Linked DNA regions of Coturnix japonica. The protein of the gene in region 2 purifies or fractionates together with the protein of the main gene of each other region. This does not show direct contact. Links are inferred from orthologs where the notes say so. Each region holds a gene or a part of one and is shown on either strand. Other genes may lie near its edges.

Region 1 (3,983 bases), on a different chromosome or scaffold from region 2:
TGTTGGATGGAATTTCAAGCAGATCAGGAATTCCTAAGTCCCTAGGATAAAAGTGACCACAAAAGCAGGGGTGAGAACCTGGAGGTGGATTGAAGCACAGGAGAGTATGGGAAATACCATAACACAAGGCAGCAGGACAGTTCTCTTCAACGTTTCGAAGCTCAAAACCAGCAGTTCAAACACCTGGTCATAGGATTTTTCGCAGCACTTGTTTTCATTGCATTCTAGGTACGATAAATACGAACCTAACTTGGAAGAAACTAAAGTACTACTTAAAAACACAAACCTTTTTAAACATACAGGGTTTTCGGCTGAACACCAACATTCACTGGAACAAAGCAGAAATTAGGTGGGAGAAGAGAGCAAAGGAAATACAGTTATGGTTAACTAGTATGTTTATCTTAACGGGCTTGTTTACAGTAGGAGGATGTTAGTCACGTTGTTCATTTGTCTATCAGTTTGTAGTACAAGAAAACACGACACTATTAACATGGCAGCAGTGTCAAGGACTAGCACCAAGCATCCAAACCAGCACCTGAGTCAGGCAGCTGTACTTCCATAGTCCTCAACTACTGATCAGAGTTCTCAACAGCAGCTAAACAAGATGGCTTTTGTAAAGGATTATTTCTTTTCTGGCATCTAAGAGTGTGTTTTAAAACCTGAAAAAGAATTCTTATCAGTATATACAACTTAGAGAAAATAAAGCAATTTTTCAATTGGAGGAGGGTGAAAGAAGATGGACTACACAGAGCTGTAATTAAAGAGGAAGTCTCAGTATTAATGCAGGAATTCCTATTTTATAAGTCCTGGTTCTTCTATAGGTTTACATTCACAAAGAGAGGGGCCTTCAACCTCTCAGTAAAGCTAGAGAAAAACGAAGACTAGAAGAATAGGTTTGTGATCTAGTGCCAACAGGAAGGATTCTTAATAAAACAAGAATCCCCACGCGTTGTTTGCTCTGGAAATCTTGGTAAATGGGAGAGAAAGAGTCATCTGGAAACCTTTTTTTAGAGATTAGAGGTGATTTCTTCAAAGGGAGCAGCCACACCACTTGTCACCAGACTGGGCAAGTATGAGACATAGGAGAATACACGGCTCTTTCAGGCCTGCAAGATAAAGTGGCTTCAGATCCTGTCTAAAAAGGCTGAAACATTTATTTTGAGCGACAGGGACAACACCTAGATAACAACTGAGCTTCTAATTTACACTGTTGAGAAACACTCGAGAAGAGAAAAGGGAGAAGACATAATTACAATTCAATTATTATTTTCCTTTGACATGTGCCAATTTCTAAGCAGGTTTCTCCTTCCTCTCCCACCCAGCAATAAGCTTGCAAGTGCTTTGATTATAAGGCCGGCTTCAGGGGCGGAGATGGGGGCAGGACAGGCCTGAAGGAAGACGGCTCCCTAAAGCACAAGACTCTGCAATTGCAATTACAGTTACTGCCATGTTTGAGAGCAGACACATGCACAGGGCTCATATTCCCTCCTCCCCTTCGGGACCTACTGCAACTCAGTGACCAGGAGACTTCTAAAGCACCTTCCATCTGCCCAGAGAAAAAAAGCTGGCCTGATGCACAGCGGAAGCCATTTCCACATGGCGGCCTAACGCATTACACACTTAGCTGGGTGTAGGCAGGAAATCACCTGGCTATCACACCATAGGCTAAATAAATAAATAAATAGAATTTTAAAAGTCAAGCTTGCAGCCTGTACGACTCCCCACAGCTCCTCCAGGTCTGACTCAACCCACAAGGAAAGGAATGCCCCGCTCCAAGGCAGTGCTTCCACTGGGCCCCTCCACCACAAAGCCCACCCCAGCCCTATGAAGCCCCCCAGCTGGTGGCTGCAACATGGTGCCCAGCAGCACCCAGCCAAGGCCCGACAGGCACCAACCAACAGTACGCAGACTCAACTTTCTGGTTTTCTGGCAGGCTGGGGCAGGCCTCGTGCTTGCAAAACAGAGGCAAGTAAGTACGTAGGTGCTCCCAACAGCAGTTGGAGTCTAGTCCTGCACAGCCCCTCATGTAGCAGCACCGACCAGAGCTTCTTGCTGGCTCTATCCCTACCACAGGACAGTGCTGTAAGAGGGACCCCATGGGCTCTATGCACAGCAGGAGTGAGCACCAAGTAGCTCCTTCTCACTGCCCACACAGTGTGTGCTCACAGCCCCCTAACGCCCTGCACCTACACAGGGCAGGGTGCAGGACCCTATGGACCGCTGCAGCTGTAAACAAGGCTCCGAGCCTTTATTATAGGACTCTTTTAAAGCTGTTATTAAGGCAATGGATACGTTAAGTTGAAGGAAGAGTGCACACATCCATTCTTACCAACAGCCAGTACTCCAGACCGGAGCTTATGTGTTTCGAGCACCACTCAGCACTCACAGAACAGGACCACAACTCGCCATGAGCGCAGGGGCCGCATCCCAACCCGGGAGCAGCTCAAGCCCGGCTGTGGGAGCAGGACGGACATCAGTAACCCCGCATCATTTATTTCAGTGGCACTGAGGAGCCGAGGAGCCCGTGCAGCTCCCCGCGCTGCCCCGCCGAGAGAGCGGCCGGCGGCGAAACAAAAGATCGAGCGGCGGCCACGGGCACGGGGCCCCTCGCGCCCGCCCGCACCGCCGGGAACGGAGCCCTCGAGTACCCGCCCTCAGCACCCCGGGCCGTACGGCGAGGCCGCGCTCACCTTACTCTTCACTTCCACCGCGCTGCATTCCAGATACCGCAGAGTCTGAGATTTGTTGAAGCTCCGGTTCATCTTCCGCGCCGCTGCCGCCCCCCCCGTCTTCTCCTCCTCCTCCTCCTCCCCCCGCCGCCCCGCGGCGCCCAACTCCGCTCCGCTCCACGCCGCTACGGACACTTTGTCCCGGCGCGCCAATGAGAGCGGCCGCAACACCGCGATCGCGATCCGGCTGCCGACAGCAGCGCGGCCCCGTCCGCGGCGGGGGGACGGGAGGACACGCCCACTAACCGCGTGGCCGCGCCCACTCGGCGCTGTGTGCCCGCCCTCATGGTGTAGGGTGGCGGGCAGCGGCTGTTTGATCCCATTGGGACCTACTGCAGTGATAGCATTGAGCTTAGTTTGGCACTAATAGTTCCCCTGTCCTATCACTCTGTGTGCCCCGGTGGCGCAGTGGTAGGAATGCTGCTTTGCAACACCGCAGGCCCTGAGTTCGAATCCCCCTTTGGCGCAAGTGGTAGAAGTGCCGCTCTGCTACACAGAGGCTCGAATCCCGGGGGTTGGACTCGATGATCTCTAGGGTCCCTTCCAACCCGCACGAGACTGTGATACTATGATCACTGTCCTAACACTGCTGAAGAATCCGTCCCCTTCTTTCTCACTGCTTCCCCCTTCTGATAGTAAAAGGCCACTCTCGGGTCTCACCTGATTCGTTGCCACAGACCATTGGGATTAACACAACCTTCAAGTTGCTATAGCTCAAATAGCACGGCAGAGTTTCCCTGAATATTGTATGATTTATGGCTTGATAGTAAGATTATAGATTGACTTACAATAAAGAGGGAAGGGAAAAGGGAAGGGAAAAGGGAGGGAAGGGGAGGGAGGGAAGGGAGGGAGGGAGGAAAGGAAGGAAGGAAAGGGGAGGGAAGGAGAGGAGAAGGAAAGGAAAGGGGAAGGGAAGGGGAGGGAAGGGGAGGGAGGGAGGGGAGGGAAGGGAAAAGGGAGGAAGGGAGCGAAGGGAGGGAGGGAGGAAAGGAAGGAAAGGGGAGGGAAGGAGAGGAGAGGAGAAGGAAAGGAGAGGAGAAGGAAAGGAAAGGAGAAGGGAAGGGAAGGGAAGGGAAGGGAAGGGAAGGGAAGGGAAGGGAAGGGAAGGGAAGGGAAGGAAGAAGCTGAAATGTGGGTTTTGGTCAGTTTCTCATCTAAATACTCAAGAGGTTTTCAGCCTGATGTGGGATGCAGCAAACTGGAACGAACAACCTGAGGCCATTCCTTCTCATGCTATCACTATTACCAGGGATA
Region 2 (3,513 bases):
TACGTGAACCTGTCATTTATAGCATAAATAGGGAATAGTCAGATTTCTATCTGTTTTTTGACATGCTTTTATCATCTGTAGAAAGGTTCCTAATTCCAGGCTATTTCATCACAGTTCAATAAAATAAATACCTAGGATGAAACCTTAAAAATACTTCATATATTATAGACCTGCTAGCAACTGTGAGATAATACAAGGAAAGGAAAAGAGAAGGTAATTCTAAGTATCCTACTGCAATTCTTAATTTTCATCATTCCTCCCCCCAAGAGAAATCATAGAAAAAAACAATACCTTGGAAGAGGTAATCTTCAGTGTTCATGTCTGGATTGTCAGTAATGATATCAAATGGAGACCTTCCTGCCATCATTTCAAACATCAATACACCAAGAGCCCACCAGTCCACGCTGAACCCTGTCAATATTTACACAGCAGATTTTCAGCTGCTCCTCAAATGTCAGAGTTCTCATCATGTGAGGATTAATGCCCTGGTCCTACACAATCAGTATTGCTGGATAGAACTTGACAGGAATTTGGGCCACATAGGAAACCTGTACAGATTCTGTAGGTACCCATACACAACCCAACCTACTGATCAGATCAGTTTATAACCACAACACTAATTAAGATTACAGTTCTGACTTCTGCATAAACAATGAACTTAGTCACAGCATTCCATAACCTTGCCTGGGGAACAATAGCAGTTGGGATGTCAAGTACATCAAGGGTTGGGGCTTGATTTTGATACAGCAACACTGCATTGCTCAGGGAAAGTAGGATTTAAAACTAGCCAAAATGAATGACTTCTAAAATCAAAAGGCTGGGTTTGTTTTACATATAGGTGGAAAAAAAAGAAATTCAGTAACAACAGTATTTGAACAAAGCTACAACTCTAACTTGGTTTTGCGCTCAGTTATAACATCAATCTGTTCAGTCTCAGCTTACCATATTCTTCTCCTCTTAGGATTTCTGGTGCAATGTAATTCGGTGTTCCACAGAAAGTGCTCGTAGTGTCACCAGGGCCCAATCCTTCCTACATACATAAAACAGTTTAAAACATTTTAGTAGTTTACTTCTACTTTTGAGATAGAAAACTGAACAGAAGAAACAAACTCAGTCAAGGTCAATTTCTTTCCTGCAAAGCGATCAGCATAAGAAACACGAAGGATGAAGTTACAAATCTGGTCCTATGCTTCAGTTAATTTGCAGCATTAAGTTGCTATTCCACAACCAAATTCTGGGCTCAATAACACTGGTGTTAAGCAAAGGGTAACTTCTGTCACTTTTCCCTTGCTATCACTAGGTATGGTGCTGGGCTTAAAAGCTTGACCAGAGAAATACACTACAGAGAGACCAAAAAAGAGAAGGGAAAAATAGAAAGGAAAGGAAATTCTACCTTGCACATGCCATAGTCTGTTAATTTGATATGACCCTCTGCATCTAGAAGAACATTGTCTAGTTTTAAATCTCTGTAGATTATGCCTCTTTCGTGTAGGAAGTTCAGAGCAATACAAATTTCAGCAGCATAAAACCTGAAAATAAAAGAGGAATATCTTAAAGATGGTACAAAACCAGTTTGTCTCTGTGACAGAATACTGAAAAGTAGCTCCATTTGTTCACAAAGGTATTGAACTTACATTGTAAAGCCATTCCTTTAAGAACAGCAAATGTAATTTTGAATTCTATTCATCATCTATCAGCATATCAAAGAAACGTTAACTGAACATGGAGTGGTAAATAAAAATACACAGGAATAGTTTGCCAATTCTCAGTTGTTAGCTTGTTTTTTAAACTATCACATATACTTCTAAAAACAGTTAACGTTTCTTACCATGGAACAACATTCTAATCCTCAAAAATAACCTTCTGTTTCCTCTTGGCTATTCATATTCTCTTAGAGAATAAGCTTCCAAAAGCATCTCATACAACATGACATAACAGAAGGAAAACCACAACAGCTGGATTAGTGAAATACCTAGCATGCTCCTCTGGCAGTTTTCTCTGTCTCTGCATGTGAAACATCAGATCTCCTCCATTTACATACTCTATGACAAGAAATAATCTGAAAGTATATAATAGAATTAATGGCTTCCAAGCAAATTCTCAGTAGGAAGAAAACTTTCTATTCTTCCAATCTGAGCCATTTTCACTTCCACTCTTGAATCTGACTTTCGTGTTTCTTATGGTTACCACAACTACTTAAGATTAGGAAAGAGGACAAAAGAATCCTTATTTGACCCGTATTAGGCAGGAGCACATTCTTTATTTAAAAGCAAATAAAAATGAAGAAGCCAGACTAAACAGGAAGAAGCCATTTCATTCAAATATCCACTATGTGCTGTGAAATGTGTAGCACTATCAAAAACAGTACAAAATACAGCAGTGCTTGATTAATATAACGGGCAGGAAATCCCTGCATTTTGCTCCACACTGCACTAAGTTACACCCTCTGAACTGGCGTTGGTGGAGCAATGGAACCCTTCCAAAGCTTTCTGACTGCCACAACAGTGTAATATTCCCTTTACGAGAAGCAGTCAGTACAAGGATCACTGTTTTCAAAACAAGATTTCAGATCTTTCTTACCGACTTGTTGTTTGAAAGCAGGAATGTAAACCAACTAGGAATGGGTTGCTGGATGCCTGTTCAAACACATGTTTCTCTGTCTGTACCCAATCAATATCCTGAAATAGAATAATTGAACAATCAGAACTTCTACCCAATAACCACCACAAACATTCCCAGAAAATATATTGTTTACATCTAAGCTCCCTTGTATACAGTGTTCTCACATATGTCCTTAAGAAATCTGGAGGAAAACATAAAACACTTCAGCTCAATTATTCAGTGTGTTTAAATAACTGAGCTTCGTTTGCTTATCTGATACTTGAAGTTAACTAATGAAGTTACCAAAATGTGATGAGTTTGTCCAACCAAAATCATCCTTAGTTGTATCACAAACTGCCTTTAATACTTCAACAGAAGTTCTGACTACACACTGCAACACAATATAAGAATGTAACAAACTCTGACTGATTCTAGTGAAATATTGCTTTATTATGGATCTGAGTTTTGCATTTCATCAATTTTCTTATAAGAAATTAAAACCTTATGGACAACTGGTTCTAGCAGTAGATACAAGACATTATACAGATCACACTGCACTCTGAACATTCAGTAACTTGCCAACAAACAAGGAATGTAAGTAGTAGAAATAGAGAATTATTAACAGACACTTCCAGCTCTCCAACCAATTTGGAGACAACAAAGACAGATGCTGAGACATTCAATGAATGATTTCACCTTTACAAGATCCCAAACTGAACTCACCACATTTGTACACACATAGTACACTAATACTGTGTTAGTTTACCAACGTTAACAGGATAAGTCTAGAAAAATTCACGTTCTTCCAGTATCTTCTGGTTTCACAGTTCATACACCTATTCAGACGTGCTGCCACTCCTGCACATCATGTCACACTGCAGTGTGCCACCAAAGCTGGCAGCCTGACAACGT
Region 3 (4,029 bases), on a different chromosome or scaffold from region 2:
GGCTAGAAGGTTGGAGTGAGCATCTTTCCTTGGATCGACTTTGCGAACAAATAGCGATTTTAACCAACTGTCTTCACGAGGTCTGCTAGCTGAAGATACCATCCCCCTACATATTAACAAGTACATTACACTGTCACTGAGCACGTCTTGAAAATGCCCACAACGCAGGGAAGACGGGCACAATCAAGTATAATACAAACAAAATTATAACAGTTACACCCAGCTCTGTCCCTCAGTCTTTCCACTGAGCCACTTGGCAGCAAGGTAAAGGCAGCTCTTTTCACACTGGGATTTACCTCCTCACAAACCATTTTATGTGATACAGAGCTGAACACTTAACCACGCTCTCTCTGCTCTCATTCTTTGTAAGCAATGCAAGAAATGGGTAGGTGGCTGCTTTTGTTGTCTTTTTATATTCTTTTTAATTAAGTGTATTTGCCCAAGGTCTGTCTTGATGTATACAGACGGGAATGAAAAAGAGCAAGAAGTGGCATAAGGAAAGATTTGTACAGTGTAAATAAGTGCCATATGTTCCTATGTATGCTTAAATACAGCCCTGGAAAGGAAAAGTTAAGTGACACATCTATGGTATTTAACTGAATCTTTATGCCCCAAGCTTGAATGCTTTTTCTTCTTACTCAAAGGAAGCACTTCCTTCAGTCCACCCCTTTATGATATAGAGTTTCTGCTGAAATATTAAACTATTTATCTGAAGTACTAAGGAACCAGCAGCCCAGGTGGAAATTTAAACCATTTTCTATCTCAGAAGTCAACTTAATACCCTGCACCACTGACTATGAGATCCAGATGCCAGGTTTCGATCTTCAGATACAAAGCTTTCTTCCAGTATCAAAACTTTCTGACAATTCCTCAAAGGAAAAGAAAAAAATAGAAGAAAATATCAACTTCTTTTGGTGGAAAAAAAAATAAATCTCAAAGAACACAATTGTCTGTATTACACAGAAGGAATTCGCACCAGCAGCACTCCTCAACAATCAACATCTGAAAACCTAATGAACTGGGATACCCTGTGGAAGCAGAACAGATGAACTGAGAAGTATTTCAGAGCAAAGAAATAGTAAGAACCAAAACAACCACAGCCAAGACAAATTTTGATGCTAAGAAGTAATTGGTATTTTGTCTTATTTATTGAACACAGGGGTCTATTCAGCCCTAAACAAACATACAAGCACATTCCTGTCCAGTCAATACAGCTGTTGCCAGAAGAGGGTGGTACAGGAGGAGAGGTTTGATCTCAACTGAGGGAGGAGAGAGGCACAGGTGACAACACACCTACTAGACACAGAACTGGGCTCCAGGAGGTACGACTCCATTTCAGCCCTGCAGTGCCTGTTCTATCATCCTGTACACTACTGGTATATTCTCCCATTCAGAACGCTCTTCTATGAGGAATAAAACAAGTATTACAGATGATTATGCAATCATTTACTCAGGAACTATAAAGTTCCGTATCAACAAGGACTAATATACCACAACTAGCCATCTAAATGTTTACTTTACTTACAATAAAGTATGGTAACTGCTGAAGTTGATTAAAACAGCATCTCAGACGAGACACACTGAGTGTCTACAGCCTTAATTTTCACCACCATATCCCTTGAGATACACTACTGGTGTCCATCTGGACACCCACAAACCAAAATGCACTAAGCTGACTGCCAGCTCACCTGCCTGGGCCACCTGTGCCCATAGTCACCTCAAGAAGAGCCAGAATGCTCAGAATGAATATGTACACACTATAGGGAATGTACACACTATAGGGAATTACCATCACGGCTCACAACTTCTTATTTTCTAGGAATGATGCTTATTAAAGAGTTTTCATGCAACCTTTTAAGGCACTGCTTAACTTTGCTAGCCAATGCTTGTCCTGCAAATGTTATCTAAAGGCTCAGATTTCTTGCTACAAAGATTGGGCTGAGACCATAAGAGGAGAACAATGAATAACTTGGTCATATTAAATTAACAATGCTGCTGAGGACATTTCCATCTGCCTTTTGCGTTAGCATACAATATAAAGTGGGTAGAGTGGGAGGTATCAGGTGAAATATATAGATTCAGTAGTAATCAATGTCTGCCTGCAAGAGAAAGAAAAACAACTTGTCTGTAACAGGCACTTTTTAATTTGCTAAACAGACGTCAAAGCTGATTCGGAACTCAATAAGTACAACACTGTGTGCACCTGCTTCAACAAGCTGCTGGCAGCGTTAACCCCACGGGCATTGCTGCCCATTGTAACCCCGAGGATGTGTGGAGGACACACAGAGGTGCTGCCCATTCTAACCCCGAGGGCCCGACGCGGCGCTGGCCGCGCTCCTGACGCGATCCCCACCCCTGGGCGGACTCGGGGGAGGGGTCCGGCCTCGCTGCCCGTGACCTTGAGGGACGCCCCATGGCCGCACTCCCCGCCCTACATGAGGCGGCGGGCCCGGCTGCGGCCCTTCAGCGACAGAGGGGCGCCATTTCCAGACGGGAGAGGGGAGGCCGAGCGTGTGTGGCAGTGGGATCCGAGCGGGCGGCGGCTGCTCCCTCCCCCGCCTCCCCCTTCTCCCTGGGCCGCCCTCTCCCGCCCGCCTCGCCCCCCTCAATGCTCACCTGAGGGTCAGGCCGCCGCCTGACGGGAGACGCGGCCCCGCGCCCGCTCCCGCCGGGCTCCACCTCAGCAGCACACGCGCCGCCATCTTGGCTCCGGCCGCCTCCCTCCTGGGCCGGCTCTGGGGCTGGTAACGCTGTAGCGCCGCCGCCGGCAGAGGGGGCAAAAATGGCGGCGGGGTGAGGGGGGTCCTCCAGCCACGCCTCGGTGGCAGCAGCAGTGCGCATGCGCGGAAGGCCCGAGCCTGGAGCCCGCCTCCCGCTGGGGGGTCGGGGTCCCACGAAACAGCGAGTCGGGCCGAACGGTTCCGTTCCTGTGCTGGGGATGGAGATGCACGATGTATATTCACCTGACTAAGAGCCCACATTCCTTCCACTCAGCTGCAGGTCTTAATCAGCCAGCTGTAATTAATGACCTACATCAACCACCTCAACACACAGATCAACAACAGAACTACAGCCCCGGATTAAAGATGCCTTCCCAAAGTCACAGAATCACAGAATGCCCCGGGTTGGAAGGGACCTCAAGGATCATGTAGTTCCAACCCCCTGCCTGGCAGGGCCACCAAACATACACCTTTACTAGATCAGGTTGCCCATGGCCCCGTCCAACCTGGCCTTGAACACCTCCAAGGACGGGGCATCCACAACCTCCCTGTGCAGCCTGTTCCAGGGCCTCACCACTCTCCTAGTGAAGAACTTCCCCCTGACATCCAACCTAAATCTTCCCTCTTTCAACTTAAAACCATTTCCCCGTGTCCTGCTATTGTCAGCCCTTTCCAAGAGTTTACTCCCCCTCCTGGGAGTAAGTTCCCTTCAGGTATTGAAAGGCTGCAATGAGTCAGACCATATTCTTATAAACTTCCATCTTCCCATCAAGAGATCCATCTCTCTCAGATCTAAATGCTCTTTGGACAGGCTACAAGCAGCAATGCTAAGCTACCCAAACATTCTCACTTTACTGCCATAATAAAGGCAAGTGGTTGTAATTCCATCAGATCTTAGAAGTTAACACAGTGGTGGCAGGAGGAACTCACAGAGAAACTGAGCACACATGCAGGTAAGCTCCTTGTAAAGCTCCTAAACTTCATTTCAAAAGGTTTAATAGCATTTTAAAGCCTACAAATCACAAAAGATGGCCTGAAATACAGAACAATTAAAATAGAATGACTCTCCTACCACATATGGTAGTAATTTCATCTCTCGGTATAACAAGAGTCATTTCAAGTGAGCAGCTGGCTTTGGAAAGTGTCAAGGCTTTGGGCAGAACTACATGCAACAAAACAAAGCGTTAACATTTAACTCACATTTTCCATAGTTTCATCTGAGGCACCAAGTTTTTCCCATCTGGAACATCCTGTTCTTAGAAGCAACTACATTTGCTACTTATATTTTGACTACAGGTTTCACCAAAAC

Evidence for each region. The genes of interacting proteins can lie anywhere in the genome.
Region 1: the proteins of PRKCZ (region 2) and PARD6G purify together in Homo sapiens (affinity purification with mass spectrometry; 6 studies listed by BioGRID and IntAct, counting the BioPlex papers as one, with this or other methods). This does not show direct contact. The link is inferred for Coturnix japonica from reciprocal best matches to the Homo sapiens genes PRKCZ and PARD6G.
Region 3: the proteins of PRKCZ (region 2) and NIPSNAP2 purify together in Homo sapiens (affinity purification with mass spectrometry; 3 studies listed by BioGRID and IntAct, counting the BioPlex papers as one, with this or other methods). This does not show direct contact. The link is inferred for Coturnix japonica from reciprocal best matches to the Homo sapiens genes PRKCZ and NIPSNAP2.

What each region holds. Positions count from the first base shown.
Region 1 is NC_029517.1:80,911,815-80,915,797, forward strand, and holds the start of PARD6G (partitioning defective 6 homolog gamma), read right to left. Parts: upstream 2,807-3,983; 5' UTR 2,763-2,806; coding exon 2,691-2,762; intron 1-2,690. UniProt on the Homo sapiens protein: Adapter protein involved in asymmetrical cell division and cell polarization processes. May play a role in the formation of epithelial tight junctions. The PARD6-PARD3 complex links GTP-bound Rho small GTPases to atypical protein kinase C proteins.
Region 2 is NC_029536.1:1,535,545-1,539,057, forward strand, and holds part of PRKCZ (protein kinase C zeta type), read right to left. Parts: intron 2,679-3,513; coding exon 2,581-2,678; intron 2,060-2,580; coding exon 1,973-2,059; intron 1,530-1,972; coding exon 1,394-1,529; intron 1,031-1,393; coding exon 943-1,030; intron 412-942; coding exon 292-411; intron 1-291. UniProt on the Homo sapiens protein: Calcium- and diacylglycerol-independent serine/threonine-protein kinase that functions in phosphatidylinositol 3-kinase (PI3K) pathway and mitogen-activated protein (MAP) kinase cascade, and is involved in NF-kappa-B activation, mitogenic signaling, cell proliferation, cell polarity, inflammatory response and maintenance of long-term potentiation (LTP).
Region 3 is NC_029534.1:3,695,149-3,699,177, reverse strand, and holds the start of NIPSNAP2 (protein NipSnap homolog 2), read right to left. Parts: upstream 2,807-4,029; 5' UTR 2,703-2,806; coding exon 2,617-2,702; intron 833-2,616; exon of another isoform or gene 796-832; intron 107-795; coding exon 1-106. UniProt on the Homo sapiens protein: Protein involved in mitophagy by facilitating recruitment of the autophagy machinery required for clearance of damaged mitochondria.